Linked DNA regions of Saccharomyces cerevisiae S288C. The protein of the gene in region 3 interacts with the protein of the main gene of each other region in a biochemical or structural test. Each region holds a gene or a part of one and is shown on either strand. Other genes may lie near its edges.

The links.
Region 1: the proteins of PEX15 (region 3) and PEX1 form a complex in vitro, tested with the Saccharomyces cerevisiae proteins (3 studies listed by BioGRID).
Region 2: the proteins of PEX15 (region 3) and PEX6 form a complex in vitro, tested with the Saccharomyces cerevisiae proteins (4 studies listed by BioGRID).

Annotation. Positions count from the first base shown.
Region 1 is NC_001143.9:69,853-75,828, forward strand, and holds PEX1 (AAA family ATPase peroxin 1), read right to left. Parts: upstream 4,014-5,976; coding exon 882-4,013; downstream 1-881. Other genes in the region: putative serine/threonine protein kinase PTK1, read right to left, coding at 1-368; palmitoyltransferase YKT6, read right to left, coding at 5,080-5,682; MIA40 (Mia40p), read left to right, coding at 5,969-5,976. UniProt on the Saccharomyces cerevisiae protein: Component of the PEX1-PEX6 AAA ATPase complex, a protein dislocase complex that mediates the ATP-dependent extraction of the PEX5 receptor from peroxisomal membranes, an essential step for PEX5 recycling.
Region 2 is NC_001146.8:18,660-24,602, forward strand, and holds PEX6 (AAA family ATPase peroxin 6), read right to left. Parts: upstream 3,975-5,943; coding exon 882-3,974; downstream 1-881. Other genes in the region: histone deacetylase RPD3, read right to left, coding at 1-643; MDJ2 (Mdj2p), read right to left, coding at 4,175-4,615; EGT2 (Egt2p), read left to right, coding at 5,389-5,943. UniProt on the Saccharomyces cerevisiae protein: Component of the PEX1-PEX6 AAA ATPase complex, a protein dislocase complex that mediates the ATP-dependent extraction of the PEX5 receptor from peroxisomal membranes, an essential step for PEX5 recycling.
Region 3 is NC_001147.6:245,333-249,123, reverse strand, and holds PEX15 (Pex15p), read right to left. Parts: upstream 1,975-3,791; coding exon 823-1,974; downstream 1-822. Other genes in the region: bifunctional N-glycosylase/AP lyase NTG2, read left to right, coding at 1-732; serine/threonine protein kinase PSK2, read right to left, coding at 2,322-3,791. UniProt on the Saccharomyces cerevisiae protein: Peroxisomal docking factor that anchors PEX1 and PEX6 to peroxisome membranes. PEX26 is therefore required for the formation of the PEX1-PEX6 AAA ATPase complex, a complex that mediates the extraction of the PEX5 receptor from peroxisomal membrane.

The DNA.
Region 1 (5,976 bases), on a different chromosome or scaffold from region 3:
CTACTGAACTTGGAGTTTGAGAGATTACGCGAAGTGGACGAATGTCTGTTTCCTCTTGAGATGGACGTGCTGGAGCCGGCCGGAGGTAGGATCTTGGTTGAGGCGGAAGATAAAGATCTCTTGCTGTTGGTTGTGTGAGCGAAAGAGTTTGCACGGCGAGAGGTTTTCAACGAATTCGGCAGTTTTGGGCTGGAGGATTCGCTGTCATTAGTACTTGTAGAGTGGAAGTCTGGAGGTAGAGACGCCTTTTTCTTCAACTTGTTCCCATGGCTTGAACTTAACAGCTTCTTTCCGAAGAACTTAAATGCTGATACCGAGGAGATTGGTTGTTGGGATATCTTCGTAGAATGATTGTGTGAGACTGTCATTGGTTGGTGGTGCGATTTAATGCGTATGCTTGCCTGTGGCGTTAAAATGGTCTATACGTTTATGCTAATATTTCTTGATGTAATGCAGGGCCTATGAATACATGGAGGTTTGTTGCCGGTGGTATACGGTTGAAAAAAAAAAGAAATAGATATATATATATTTCTTCTTTGTATAGACTTCTGCGAGAAAAAGAAAAGATAAGGAAAAATGAAAAAAAAAGCGTATAGGTGCTAAGAAGAATTAAGTATCAAAAGGTAGCAGGCATTTATGTTATATATGCAACTTCGGATTTCGTTCAATACATCTTGACCGGTCTCCACTGTTACTGGCATATTTCTCGGGTTTTTCCTTTTCACCACAAGGGAAAAAAAATGCGTTATGTAATTTCACCAATATTTTTCCCGTCCTGCGTGCTCGCACAATACAATAGGGTCATGTCACGTAATAAGCAACGTGCGCCGCATTTTTTGCCCTTTAAAGGGAAACGCGCTTTGTTCTTTTCTTCTTCCTTTTCACATAAGGGAGAGTCGGCTACCAATGTCGATGGAATTCTCACCATTGGGCATCTCACCGTTCCTATCCTTCTGGAACCTATCGTAAATCCCCCTTAATTTGACCAACTCACTTGTTGAAATACTAGGTTTTGTCTCTTGACAGGCTTCCAATAAATCGTTTATTGTGACCACAGCTGTCAGCTCAGAAGCAGCTGAAGTGCTTGTCTTTGTCTCGTGCACCACATCTTGCTGCAATAGAGTCTTTAGCCGTAGTCTATTTTCTTCTCTACGCCCGTGCTCATTGATACTGAAGTATTCTATATTATCATTGCCGGGTACCACTTCCGATTGGTCTGCAGCAGACAGCCACCTATGTACAGATTTCAAATAAGCATTGTAGCAGAGCCCCTGTAAATCAGCACCCGAAAAACCAGCTGTCTTTTCAGCGATCAACTTCAAGTCTGCATTTTTCTCCAATGCAAATTTTTTTTGTCCCGTATCCTTGTCTTTTGAATTGACGATAGCTTGCAAGATATCTAACCTCTCTGATTCAGTCGGTATATTACAGATCACACTTTTGTCTAATCTTCCCGGTCTTAACAATGCGCTATCAATCAAATCAGGTCTACTTGTAGCTGCTAGTATATATACACCATCAAGGCCCTCGGCACCATCCATTTGGGTCAATAATTGATTGACTACACGGTCTGTGACACCAGTGGAGTCATGCCCTCTCTTTGGCGCAATAGAATCGAACTCGTCAAAAAATAGAATACAGGGTTTGACGGACTGTGCCCTTTCAAACAATTCTCTTATGTTTTGTTCGCTGGCACCTATAAACTTGTTTAAAATCTCTGGTCCCTTAACGGAGATAAAGTTTAACCCACATTGTTGTGCCACGGCGCTCGCCAGAAGCGTTTTACCACAACCAGGATAACCGTAAAGCAAGATTCCTGATCTCAATCTTAGGGGACAATTAACGAAAATAGGCTCATATTTTGTGGGCCACTCTAAGGTTTCTAGAAGGACATCTTTGGCATTTGCTAAAGCACCAATATCCCCCCATTTGATGTTCGTTTCTTTTGTTAGCTTTACTCCACGCAACGCAGATGGTGTAAACGCACTAAGCGACTTCGAAAAAAGTTCCCTTGTTACAACATTATCACAATCTCTTTCCAACTGCAAGTCGTAGAAAATCTTTTCTGTGAATATTTCCAAATCTAGTGGCGAAAATCCTTCTGTCTCCAACGACAAATCACTGAATTGCAAATCTCGATTTAGTTTCATGATCTGGTTTTTCGAGAAAAAATACTCCAGTAACTTCGCTCTTGCATGTTTGTCAGGTGCTCTCAAAGACCACGTCTCTGAAACAAAATGCTTATCAAACAATAGCGGATTAATTTGAGTTTTCTGCTTGCCTGAAAATAAAACTCTGATTCGTTTATTATCCTTGTTAAATATCTTTGTCACCTGATTGATGAAAAAATTCAAAAGTTTGCTTGCATTATCCCATTGGCCATTATTAGAAGGATCTCCGTCATTGGCTTGAGGTTTTCCAAATAGAGCCTCAACGTTATCCAACACAATCAAAGAAGGACCATACCAATAACAAAAAGAACACCATTCCATAATTAATTTTTGGGTTTTATCTAAATTTGATGTCTCGTGCAATGTTTCACAATCCGCATATTTAACGAAGATGTGATGATCTTTTTCCACTTCATTTATAAGCTCTTTTAATAACCTTGTTTTACCGATCCCTTGCTTACCATCTAATATAATAGCTGGTGTGGCAATAATAGGCGATGTCAAATAATTGACCATTTCTTTCTTGATACTATTTACCGTAATGAAATCATCTTCATCTTTACTAGTGCGCGAAACTTCGCCAGTTTCTTTGACGTGGTAATGTTTAGGCAAATGCCTTTCGATAATATCTTTAACTTCTTCTTTACCCATTTGGGTTACTTTCCATTGAACGGATTCATTGGAAATTTCATTCAAATTACACAACTGCTGCTCGGATTCACCTTTTTTTATTTCGATTATAATTTGCTCTGTTGGAAGTATTAAGTTATTGGTCAATAAGCTCCCGCCCAACAACTTAGAATACTGATCCCCACTCTTGGTAGGAACGTCCTTGCCAAAATATTTGATATTGACTGTTGCATTTCTTCCGGATATTATATTTGCTTGATTCATTTGTAGAAACTCTAGTTTGATTTTTGCTCCGTTCATTGGGTGCGTAAAGAATGCATCCCAAAGATGAGAGCTTAATGCAATGTGATTTTCGGGTATCTGACTATCACATTTTATAAAAACCCCAATCTTCTTCGAAGGGATACCAACTGATTTATTATCTGAATCGCTTTTCTTGGACTGCCTTAAGCTACATTTTACGATAGAAGCGTAGCCCTTCTGAGAAGGCAATTGTGCCCCGTCACTGATATATACGACAAAAAGGTTATCTTTAGGGAAGTCCATTTTGCACACAGTACTCCTCAATATTACCTTCTTTAAAAGTTGGATAGCCCCATTTTTTAGTATTGTCTTATTACTATGACCATACTCAGCCTTCACCAAACGTGTTTTATTGACTTTTGGTGCCACAACAACCAAGGAACCATCTGTGATCCTCGCAGACTTCATTGATGGCTCCACCCTGTCAATTTTGAACTTTGTAACAATTCCTTCCAAATAACAAATCAAAGTCTCACCTGGGGTAACTATACGGGTTTGGTGCAAAATCTCACCATTTTGGAACCTCATCGCATTGGCATCGATAATTTCCCAATCATCACTCGTTTCTGGCGTGACATACACCTCCGTAGCCAGGTGTGTGTGGTCATATCGCTGGATGTATAAGTCCACCAATGGAGACTTTTGATTTAAATCATATACTGTGGCCAAAACAGGATTGATAAGAACAACATTCTCACTCGATCCAGAATCATGGCCATCCCATCCAAGATGAACAATAGGTATATCTGAATTATGAGAATGGACTGCTATACCGAATTCCTGGATAGCGTAGTTGGTTGACTCTAACACGTTTATAATTGAATGCGGTAACCTTAAAAAGTTTCCTACTATGGCATTGGAGAATTGGATTCTCAGATTCTCAAACTTCAACCTCTTGGTCGTCGTCATTTGAAAGAGCAGTTCCTCAGGTGTTTCTTGTTACTGCCGTCCCTTCCAGAAGAAATTCGACGATGACAATAGTCGGAGAGATATTCCGGACCTTTATAATTGCGGCTACGCACAAGAATAAATCGCGATAGTAATCGGATATAAGACAATAAAGTCCAGCTAACTTGGTTGGAGAATTCGACAGATTACCATGAATATAGAAATCGATGTTTTTTTTTGTCCACGCCGATTGATCAGCCATTTTTTTTTATCAGGGTCGCAACTGCCCTGTGCAAATAAGAAAGCCTGAAATGGTTGCACAAAGACCACAAACAAGGGCATACGCCAGTACAGTATTATGGACTCATGCCATCGAGGTTACATAGAATTAGTTTAAACAAAAACCAACTATCCTCTAATATCCATGGTACGAGTATATATAATTGTATGAAGTGTAAGAATATGATATAAATAATGAGAGCACTCATAGAGAGTAACGGCGCTGAATTGTAAGAACTGTCACGTAGTAACACAATCACTGAAAGCATATAAAGTGAAATGAGAAACGGTAGTAATATCATATGCATTACCAATTCCTTTTAGTGAATTTCCATGTGCCCGAGGGGGGACTTCCAGTATATTCTGTTACATTTAAGTAAATACTTCATCAACAAATAGGGCCCAGCGGTTTCTTACACTAATTATACATTTACAACGTAAATGCTCCAGCTCAAGCATTATTTATATATCTTGTTTTCAAAAGAAAAATATAGCAATTAGACTCCATGGCCAAGTTGGTTAAGGCGTGCGACTGTTAATCGCAAGATCGTGAGTTCAACCCTCACTGGGGTCGCTTATTTTTAACTTTTTTACACTGAAGAAACAAATCAATTCTAATACAATGCCAATGGCTTCAAATCAACCTTTGGTTATAATAGTTAGGAGAATCGATGCTTACATAGTATATTATTTAAACAATTAATTTGATTTAAAAGATTTTTGTTTCCCTTGCTGCTGTCATTGGCTTTCTAAATTACATAAAGCAGATGAAAAGCCACACTATGCTGAAAATAGTGTGTGGATGCATCTACATGATGATGCAACACGAATTGGATTTTTTAGCTTGCTTATAAAACATTTTGGAACTTGCCGTTAATGACTCCGATTTGTCCACCAAATTATCCAACTTTTCACCTCTTTGTAAAACATTCTCAATCGTTTTGTGCAAAACGATTTTCGTCTCATCCAGTTCTTGTTGAACTTTCATGATAGCGTCAGCCTGTGAAGGATCTTGATATTTGCTAATGTAAGTGTCCAGTTGCTTCATTTTCAATGCATCATTGGTCTCAGTCACATCTGCCCACTCTTCCTTAGGATGTGCGACTAAATATTCATCCAATATTTTGTTTAATAGTGTGTATGCTGGTCTGACAGGATATTCTTTGTCGGTGATCAAAACACCACATATGCCCTCACTCCTGGCATAAACGTGGCCAATATAGTTGCCTTCTTCTATACTTTGTCTTTGTCCTGCACCAGTTCTAGAAGCGACCGTTTCAGCAAAAAAAGTCATAAACTGGCCAACACTAGACCTTTCAAAGAAACCAAATTGTGACAAGTCTTTAACTTCACTCAACTCTAGAGCCTTTTCTCCTCCAGAGCGAAATACACCGATGTAGTAGATTCTCATTGCCAAAATAACTTCTCTAGTGATACGTAAAGCTTCAGAAATGCCCTAGCCTGGTCTAACGCAGTCAAACTGTGCCAGAGACTTTTGTATATTGTTCATGTTGATATCTATTGTGCTTGCTCTTGATTTCACACCAAGCCAATCGTTCTGTACGGCACGCCACCCAATAAGAAAAAAAGGGAAAAGGAGCCGAATTTTGGTTTAAAAACATATAATGCTGAAATTGTGGAACACCAATTACCAACTGGAAGTAGGCTCGATCCAAAGAGTGTATATTATCAGTAAAATGCTTCG
Region 2 (5,943 bases), on a different chromosome or scaffold from region 3:
AAAACTCACCATATTTGTGGAAAGAACATGTCATGACACGATCCGTTGTATAAAACGCTTCCTCTACACCATCACCATGGTGCACATCAATATCAATATACAGAACTCTGGGGTGGTATCGTAGTAGCTCAATAATGCCCAGTACTATGTCATTTAAATAACAAAACCCAGAAGCTTCCGATTTTTTTGCATGATGCAAACCACCCGCATAGTTGACAGCAACATCACATTTGCCTCTATTCAGACGAGCAGCTCCTTCCATAGAGCCACCACCAGATATGCTACAGTACTCATAGAGCCCATCAAAGACAGGACAATCATCTCCGACATTAAACTTGACACTTTCTCTTTTAAACATTTCTAAATTATCTGGAGTAACCCTCGATAAAAAATCAATGTATTCATCAGTATGGAACTGACACATTTCTTGTTTCGTTGCCGGCTTAGCTCTGTAAATTTCCATCTTCTTGTACAAGCCATAATTCATAATAAGGGAATGTGCCATTCTTATTCTATGCGGCTTCATCGGGTGACCTGCTCCATATGCATAGTTCCCAACGTCTGCATCGTAAAAATATGCAACGCGTCTTTTATCGCTTGGCTTGACCGTGATCGGATCAAAAGGTGTTGCTTCATATACCATCTGCACGGATATCGAGTTGTAGCCACGAATGTTTTGTATGGCGCAATTGTTTTATGAACCTTTATGGTTATTACTTCAAATTTTTATTATGTATAATCAACTACTAGTATCTTTTCTGTTTTTCCCTTTCGATAGATACTATGAGCCGGGGAGGGTAAGTAAATAAAAAGATAAATTTCAAGGCAAAATATGGGACATATATTTACAAATTTACCTATACGCTCTGAGTTGATATTACTTAAGCACCTTCAAAATTAGCTCTCACCGCTTCATAATGATTCAGTTCAGCCCGCGACACACTTGGGGTGAGCTGCTCTTGTGCTTTCAAGAAGTCTTCCATTTTTACGACAACCTTAGTATCCTCTTTTGTCGCAATCTTATCAAACCAGCGACGTGTAGAAATATTCTCTCCCGTCAATTCGTTATGCTGAGAAACTTTTTTTTCTACCATGCGTGCAATTCTTGACATGGCGTTAAGCATTGCATCTGAGCAGAGAGCATAAAAATCTGCCCCGGTGTAATTAAATGGACATAGCTTTGCCAACTCAATAAGCTTTACGTCGTTGTCGAGCACGAATTTGCGAGTCAGAGCCTCTAAAATATTCAATTGTTTGGTATCCGTATCCGGAATGCCTAAATATAACAATTTATCGAATCGTCCTGGTCTTAGTAGTGCTTCGTCCAATAAGTCTGGTCTGTTTGTTGCTCCGATAACAAATACACCGTCAGCGTCGGTACTCATACCATCTAACTCTGCTAGTAACTGTGAAACGATACGATCCATAACACCACCCGAATCACCTTGATTACCACGTTTGGGTGCTACTGAATCGATTTCATCGAAAAATATGACACAAGGTTTAGCCTCTCTCGCCTTTTGAAACACTCTGCGCACATTAGCTTCACTCTCACCAATGTACATATTCAACAGTTCAGGGCCTTTAACACTAAAAAAATTTAAAGAAAAATTTGTTGCAATGGCCTTAGCCATTAGAGTTTTACCTGTACCCGGTGGACCATAAAAAAGAATACCGCTTCTCTTTTTCATACCTGAGGTAAATAATTCAGGATGTTTTAGCGGCATGTCTATTGTGTCCAATATTTCACCTTTAACAAAATCAATACCACCTATATCATCCCAAGTTACGTTAGGGATTTGTGGGGCACCAATCGAAACCGAGAATTCGTTCCTAGCTTTCGAAGTAGCTTTTGATAAATCCTCCTGAGTGATCAAAATTGATTGCGGAAGCCATCCACACTTCTTTGATTCTTGGTAAAAACGCGCAGTAGCCGTCATTCGTGCCGTTTCCACAATTGATTTGATGTCTAAAGGAGTTAAACCAGCAGAATATGAAGAGAGTGATGAAAATGAAATATTATCCATGTAAGATACTGGAACCTTTTGTTGAACATCTCTGTTTAGTTCATGTGAAGATAAGTACCACTGAAAGATACGCAGTCTCTGTGCTTCAGACGGAACGGGTACGAGAATCTCAAATCTCATATGTGATCTAAAGCTGGAAGGCACGTTATCTATGTTATTTACGGAGCCAACAAATGTAGTTCCTGGGAATTTAAACGTAAAATCGTCCAGAAGTTTAGACATTTCGAAGTTTATAGATTTTTGTAATTTGATTGCCTCTGGATCTTGATTAGCGTTTACGTCAAGCAAAATTGAATCCAAATGAGCCAAAAAAATCACAGCAGGTGATGCGTACGGTAGGACATTTTCACATTTAGCCCTAATGTAACCAATAATCTTAGATGTTGAATCCAGTTGTCTTGAATTTGAAGTGAGCGAAAGGCAATCTATCTCCAGTAGATGTATACCAAGATATTTTGAAGCAAATCTCACCATTGTAGCCTTGCCCACATTGTTTGTAGTGGAATGAAGTAACACAGAGGCATTTAGGGTGATTCCCCTTTGAGAACAATTGAAGGAAGTTTCTAATATGTTAACCAATTGTCTTACATAGGGGAAGATATGCAAATCATAGTAAAAAGTTTCAGCAAAACCGTAATATCTCTGAAGATTGGATCTACTCAAGGGTAATGGTCTTCTGTTAGTGATATTAGTTGTTATTAGCTTCGTCCGATTGGGATCAATAATAAAATGAGAATTATCTTTAGAGAAGCAATCGAGCTCTGCGCTTGTGACAAAGAACCATACAAGGGAATCGTTCTTGTAGTACTGCCCTAGCTCATCTTCGTCATCAGACTCATCATTTTCCTCTGCTATATTGAGATCAGCCATACTTGAATCAAAAGCGATTGGGATTAAATCATTTTGACAAAGAATCCTTTTGCTCTCGCTAAAAAACTTTTTCAAGGTTGTTAGAATAATATTTTGAAAGCATTTCTGAGATTGAAGCCAGCCTCCAACTCTTGAGATGAAAACTTGATTAGCAATGGGAATATCTGTATGGCCTATATTGGACTTTGATATTGTCACGACGCTGCAGTCTGGAAAGCTTGCTATTATTTTGGGAGGTGCGTATATTGTTCTTTTTTTAAAGCCGTTGGGGAGTAGTAAAACAAACAGCTTAACTAGCCTGACGCAACCCATATTTGACACTGTTATAAACGATCCACTTGTGACATCCAGGCGCAGTAGAGTTTCAGCGTCTGTAAAGGCATATATTGAATTATCATCATTGATGTGAGGTGCAGGTCGCAAAAGATCTCTTGAAATTGTGCAGGGGAGAGATTCAAGATCAATTGATAAAGCAGAATTTGTCCCTATTTTAGGTAATGCATATTCTTCATCTTCGTTAGCATATTTTAGAGCACTTAGTTTCTGCTCAGTATCATTTACTAATATCAATTGGGTTTCTGTAAAATCAACAAGGCCCTGCGGGAAAGGTGAGCAGTTTAAAATTTGGCAAAGACCAGATGTTAAAATATCTCGAGAATGAACCACGGTTTCCATGGAGTTGATGTTATATTTGTAATGCAAAAATTGTATTTGTTGCATCTCTTGCGGTAGGTCCATTAGTTTTGAGTACAATTGTTCATTAATCAGAAACGTTACGCTATCCAGTACAGGTACTACATTGTCTAATATGGGTTCAAAATAGCAAAAATCCATAGTGGGCTGTGTCGGCATAAACCCAAAAAGTTTGGAAGGTACAACAATGCTACAGAAGGGCAGTGAATCATCCAGGACACAATGTACAATTTTACCAGGCGTGCAACCTGGACCGTACTGAGGCAATCTAATTGTCCCATATAAACATTCAGCTTTTTTATCGCCGTATTCGAGATATATATCCCTAGAAATGCTACAGGGGGCGTATATTCCGGAGAGACTAAACGTAAGCGATGCCTTCATATTAATGTTACTATAATCGCTTTCTTTTGGAGGGTATGCAAACACATATATGCTCTCCACTACTGTTCTTTGTTCTAATTCTAATGACTTGTTTGAAAGTCTCCGATGGCCGCACTTTCCCGGAAGTGTTGACGATTATCGCCGTATACTATGTGGTGTAAGGAAGTGTAGCAATTGGCTACATGATATATAAAGTTCTTTTATCTCTTTCTTAGTAAAACACTTCTTTCGAGAACTTCTTTCGCCTCATTTATCTTGGCCGCCATGTAGGGACTCCCTCCTCTGTCTGGGTGGTTACGAACCATAGCCTTCCTGTGCTTTTTTTTCAGTAATTTTTCATCCAAGTGATTAATCTCTCTGGCGGAGATATCCAAGATGAGCAAGGCTTCGGGCTCTGTCATTCGCGGTGCAAAGCCTCCCTGGTACTGGTTTAATCTATTTTTCAGTTCTTCGTCTATCAGTGAGCTTTTGAACTTAAGTGCATCGCGGTAGCCCGCCGTCGGGTTTTCTATGCGAATGTTATTTAGTTTTGCAATAGTTAAAGGGGACAGGGTCTTGTAGACGGTCCATGCATTGAGACCAGACTTGACACTTAGAGCAACCATTGTCACGCCCAAACCAATTATTATAGGCAAAACCATGCTGGAATATCCTATTCTTTGTGGCTATACTGTGTATTGAGTGGATCCTAGCAACGAATTCGTTTGTTGTTATTTTTTTCTAGATTGTATCTCCGTTTCCGAAATTGTTATTCACAATGAGCGTTTACCTCTTGCAATAACAATAATCAGAGAATAAGCTACAAGACGAAAAATGACGTTGAGCGTGGCAGTAATGCCATAACGAAGATCAATAGTGTATGGGATGTTGGATATGTCGTTTCCCTGCCAAAGAAAAAGAAACACAAAAAAGAAAAAGCAAAAAAAAACAGTGCTAAGGATTTGATATTAAACGAAGTCCCACCATGGAGGATCATATCCCAATAAATTTATGCATAGAATGGTACCATTCACAACTAATATAGCCTCTGCTGGTTCCTTTAGTAACCTCTTTAGTAACCTCTTTAGTGAAATGGTTCTTGCTGGCTCTATTATTTTCCTAATTCGGACGCGCTGGCTCCGCGCCGTGAGGAAAAACAGCAGGCTGACAAGGGACTAATTTACTGACACTTTCGGCTGACACTTCCGAAAAGGTACTCAAGCTTTTATGAGTAAGATGCTGGTTTGATGCTAAGAATACGATTTAGTACTTCCTTTTTAATGTGGCTTGTTTTTTTTTTATTCGTCCATAACAGTACAAATATAAAAGCAGAATACATTCTTGCCGACCTAAAACTTGTGTCCTTAGACTCAAACTTTCTGATGGTTTTCTTTCAGTAGAATCAACATAAACAAGCATAATATAAAACACTACAATGAATAAACTATTGTTACATCTAGTACGAGTCATTTCGATACTCGGCCTAGCAAACGCTCTCACACAAACGCAACCGATTTTAAAAGATATTCAAATAACAGATAGTTATACCAAAACAAAAGAATGTACGGATCCAGATCATTGGTTCATAATAGAAGGGCAACTGTCTATTCCAAAGGGAAGTCAGCAAAATATAACATTCCAAGTACCAGATGCTTTCAGCTCATTCCCTCAAGAACCCTTCAGCATAAAACATAATTCTAACAGTGTTGCCACGATATCACGCCCAGATAAATCGACGAACAATTTCACCATTTCTATTCCAGAAAAGAGTTCAGAAGATATAACTACTACATTTAACTTCCTTGCACAGCTTACATCAGATGCTAAATCCAAAGTTACAGAACCAAAAAGCATCGTTTACAGTTTCTATTCAGAAAATACTATGTTTAATGACGTTATTGATTACGTCGCTAAAAATACTTCTGCTATAACAACAGATGGTGGTATATACAAAACTAATAATACCGCCTGGTTTACCGTTGACTTACCA
Region 3 (3,791 bases):
CCTAGTGAAAAAGTCGATCCAAAGAATTTCAGGCTTCAATTTCTTATTGGCACTATGCTTTCTGCTCAAACGAGGGACGAAAGGATGGCGCAAGCGGCTTTGAATATCACCGAATACTGCTTAAACACATTAAAAATAGCAGAGGGTATTACGCTAGATGGACTGCTTAAAATTGATGAACCTGTATTAGCAAATCTAATTCGATGCGTTAGCTTCTATACCAGAAAAGCCAATTTCATCAAAAGAACCGCACAATTATTGGTAGACAATTTCGATTCAGATATACCGTATGATATAGAGGGAATTCTCTCGTTACCTGGAGTTGGACCTAAAATGGGATATTTAACACTGCAAAAAGGTTGGGGGCTGATTGCCGGCATATGCGTCGATGTTCATGTCCATAGGCTGTGTAAAATGTGGAATTGGGTAGACCCTATTAAGTGTAAGACTGCCGAGCATACTAGAAAGGAGTTACAGGTTTGGCTACCTCACTCACTGTGGTACGAAATAAACACCGTTTTGGTTGGATTTGGTCAATTGATCTGCATGGCCAGGGGTAAGAGGTGTGATTTATGTCTAGCAAACGATGTCTGCAATGCTCGCAATGAGAAGCTAATCGAATCTTCCAAATTTCATCAATTGGAGGACAAAGAAGACATCGAGAAAGTATATTCGCATTGGTTGGACACGGTTACAAATGGAATTACAACAGAAAGACACAAGAAAAAATAGAACCACCATTCATTGTGGAAAAAGATGAAAAACCATTATGTATGTCATTAAAATAAGTAGGTAGGGTTTTATAAACTATTCAAATATTTCTCATATACTCGCTAGAAGTTTTAGCAACCCTACAATCTGGGGGTATACAGTGTGAAAGGCCGCTGGAACATGTTTGAAAATTGCCATCAATGACTTATATTTTTTCAAACATAAGAGTAGCAGCAGACCTGTGAGCAGAAGTCCGTTTTTGTTCAGCACACTTCTTGTGAAATGATGCTTCAGGACAGCCCAAAATGAACCAGCCAGAACAGTAATATCATTGTTTTTTTTACGGGGCGCCGTTCCAGTACTCTGGAGTCTACTATCAGTAGAGGTGCGTTGATTAAACGCATCCTCAACCTTAACCTGTTCTTCACTACTATTGTGTAACATAGGCTCGTGAAAATGGTGTATTTTCTGTTTCACTCCTCTTTGTTTACCTTTAGACTTCGCCTTATCTTTTTGTATTTTATTATCTATTGAGTTCAGAATAGCATCCTCTATGGAAACATCTTTAGATAAGTAAAGGCCCTTTAGGGTTGGAGATAACTTAGGTAATGTTTTGCAAAGCGCCCAATACATATTCGGTGAGGGTTTTTTATGATGCAGTTTTACCTTCACCTGAAAGATGAATATCTCGATTAATTCTTGTAAGCCAACTACATCTATAGTTGTCCTCATTTTCGTTATGTATACGAAAATGAAATCACTCATTATGGATTCAAGCTCCAGAGTTTTTTCTTCTTGTTCGGTGTGATCAGTTAAGTTAAACTGAATAACCTTGATACAGCATCGAAAGAATTTATTGATGACCAAAAGTTTACTGAGGTCACCGAGAATAATTTTTCTTGTCTCAATACATTGAGGGGTATCTAACGTGAAAATATTCAAAATCTCACTCTGCAGTGTTAAACCTAATTTGGTAAAGCTGGGCATAATATCACAGGCGCTGACAAATAAATCTAATATCATAGGGTTGGACTTGAAAACGGTAATATCAATAAATCCAACCTCAGACATTTTTTCTAGGCAATCCTTGATATCTCTTTTTATGAAAAGGTTCACACATTCTTGAAATACTTCACTCCTCTGATCATTTACCGACTTGGTCGATTCATCACTTTCAATGAATAAGTCATCGTTAAGTAAATCCCTTAGAGAAGAATCGAGGGAATGCATAGGCAGATTGTTCATTATCTCACTTGCAGCCATTATTCACAGAACCCTCTTGTATAAACCACACCGTAGTACGTTCTGCTAGTGCCTCTTTCTGTTTACCTAACTATTTCTCTTGCCTAAATATGTAAGTCTACGATGACTTTTCTATGGTACTTGATGTCACTCCGACGGCGATAAGCCGCTCAGCGCAGAAGTTTGCCCCAAAATAGAATGAAAGAAAATACTGCATAGAGGCTGGACAAGAAGGATATAGAGCAATGATATGATATTAAAAATGTAATTAATATATAGCCAAAAAAAGAATAGAACATTTATGAAGGTAAATGGTTATGAAAATGGATTAAATTATTCTTTCCCTTTATCTTGGAGAGTACGGAAAACTAGATTTTAAGCCATTTATCTTCATATATTTCATCAATAGTAGGTCTTTTATCAACTTCTCTTGTCAAAATTCTTTTTATCAAACTGATGCATTCTTCACTGACATGTTCCGATTTATCGAACCTTAATTCACCTTCCAAGATTTCATCAATGTTGTAATAAGGATTCTCTTTATAAATTATGGTATAAAGTAGCACACCAAGAGCCCAAATATCTTGTGGTTTACCTTTGTAAGAGGAACCACCAAGGACTTCAGGTGCAGCATAGTCCATTGTTCCCACAAAAACATCGAATGGTCCACTCTTGATATAGGCAGCCGAACCGAAATCGATTAATTTTACAAAGCCATGAGAATCAACAATAACATTTTCGTCCTTTATGTCTCTATGAACAATTCCTTGGTCATGTAAATGCTTTATACTAGCGACTACCTGTTTAAACACCAGTTTAGCTTCATGTTCAACCATATCTTTTTTGAATTCGATAACATCAAATAGATCAATACTACCAGTTTCTCCATGGACCGGTGTTTCAATGTAATAATAATCGTCATCTTCAAAAAAATCTAATAACTTCAAGATATTTTCTTGGGAATTTTTATTCAAGGTCGCCATAATTTGGATCTCAGAAGGTATAGTACCTAATTTTCTATCTCTCACCCATGTGTCTACTAAAATCCTCTCTTTGAAAATCATTTTGATGACCACGATATAGTGTTCTCTGTTATGAATGCATAAATTGACTTTACCGTACGCACCCTCACCCATCACTTGCAGAATAGTAAAATCAGAAAATTTCTTTATGCGCTTTTGTGAGCCTATATTAGCCTCTGGAGTAGTCAAGTACGTAGCTTTTAAAGTAGAATTTCTTTTGTCTAGCTCATTTGTTTCCTTTTTGATTTCTTCTCCGTTTATCGGTTCAATTATCCTCATTATAAATTTTTCATCCACTTTAAAGTTGTCGTCCTTTACAAATTTTGATTTGTCCTGCGTGTACATTTTCGTTAATTCAATTTTATGTTTTAACTCAGGATCATCAACCATTGTCATGTCATCGTCATAGTTATTGTTGTCATTAGATTCGATACCTCTCACTTTACCGCAAGAAGTTTCTCGTAGTTTTTCATTCACTTGATTTAAGTCTACTTCATCGTCTGAATTAGAAATCGTTTCAGCGGAGCTAATCGACAGATCAGCCATTGCCTTCAAAGTATTCACAGGAATTTTTTCCGAAGATTTCTTGGAAGATGCACTGGAACTACCTCTACTGCCAACGACATCAATTTCGTTCTCCTTTAACATCGGTAGCTGCGAAGGAACGGTGGTATAATTTTCAATGACCACGTCTCTTGAGTGTGTAATCCATAATAATACAGCATTCGTATTCAAGACCCGTAATTGAACATCCACCTTTATCAAATTACCATCTTTGTGACAGCCGTCTAGACCAATAGAAGTGTAAAACGAGTC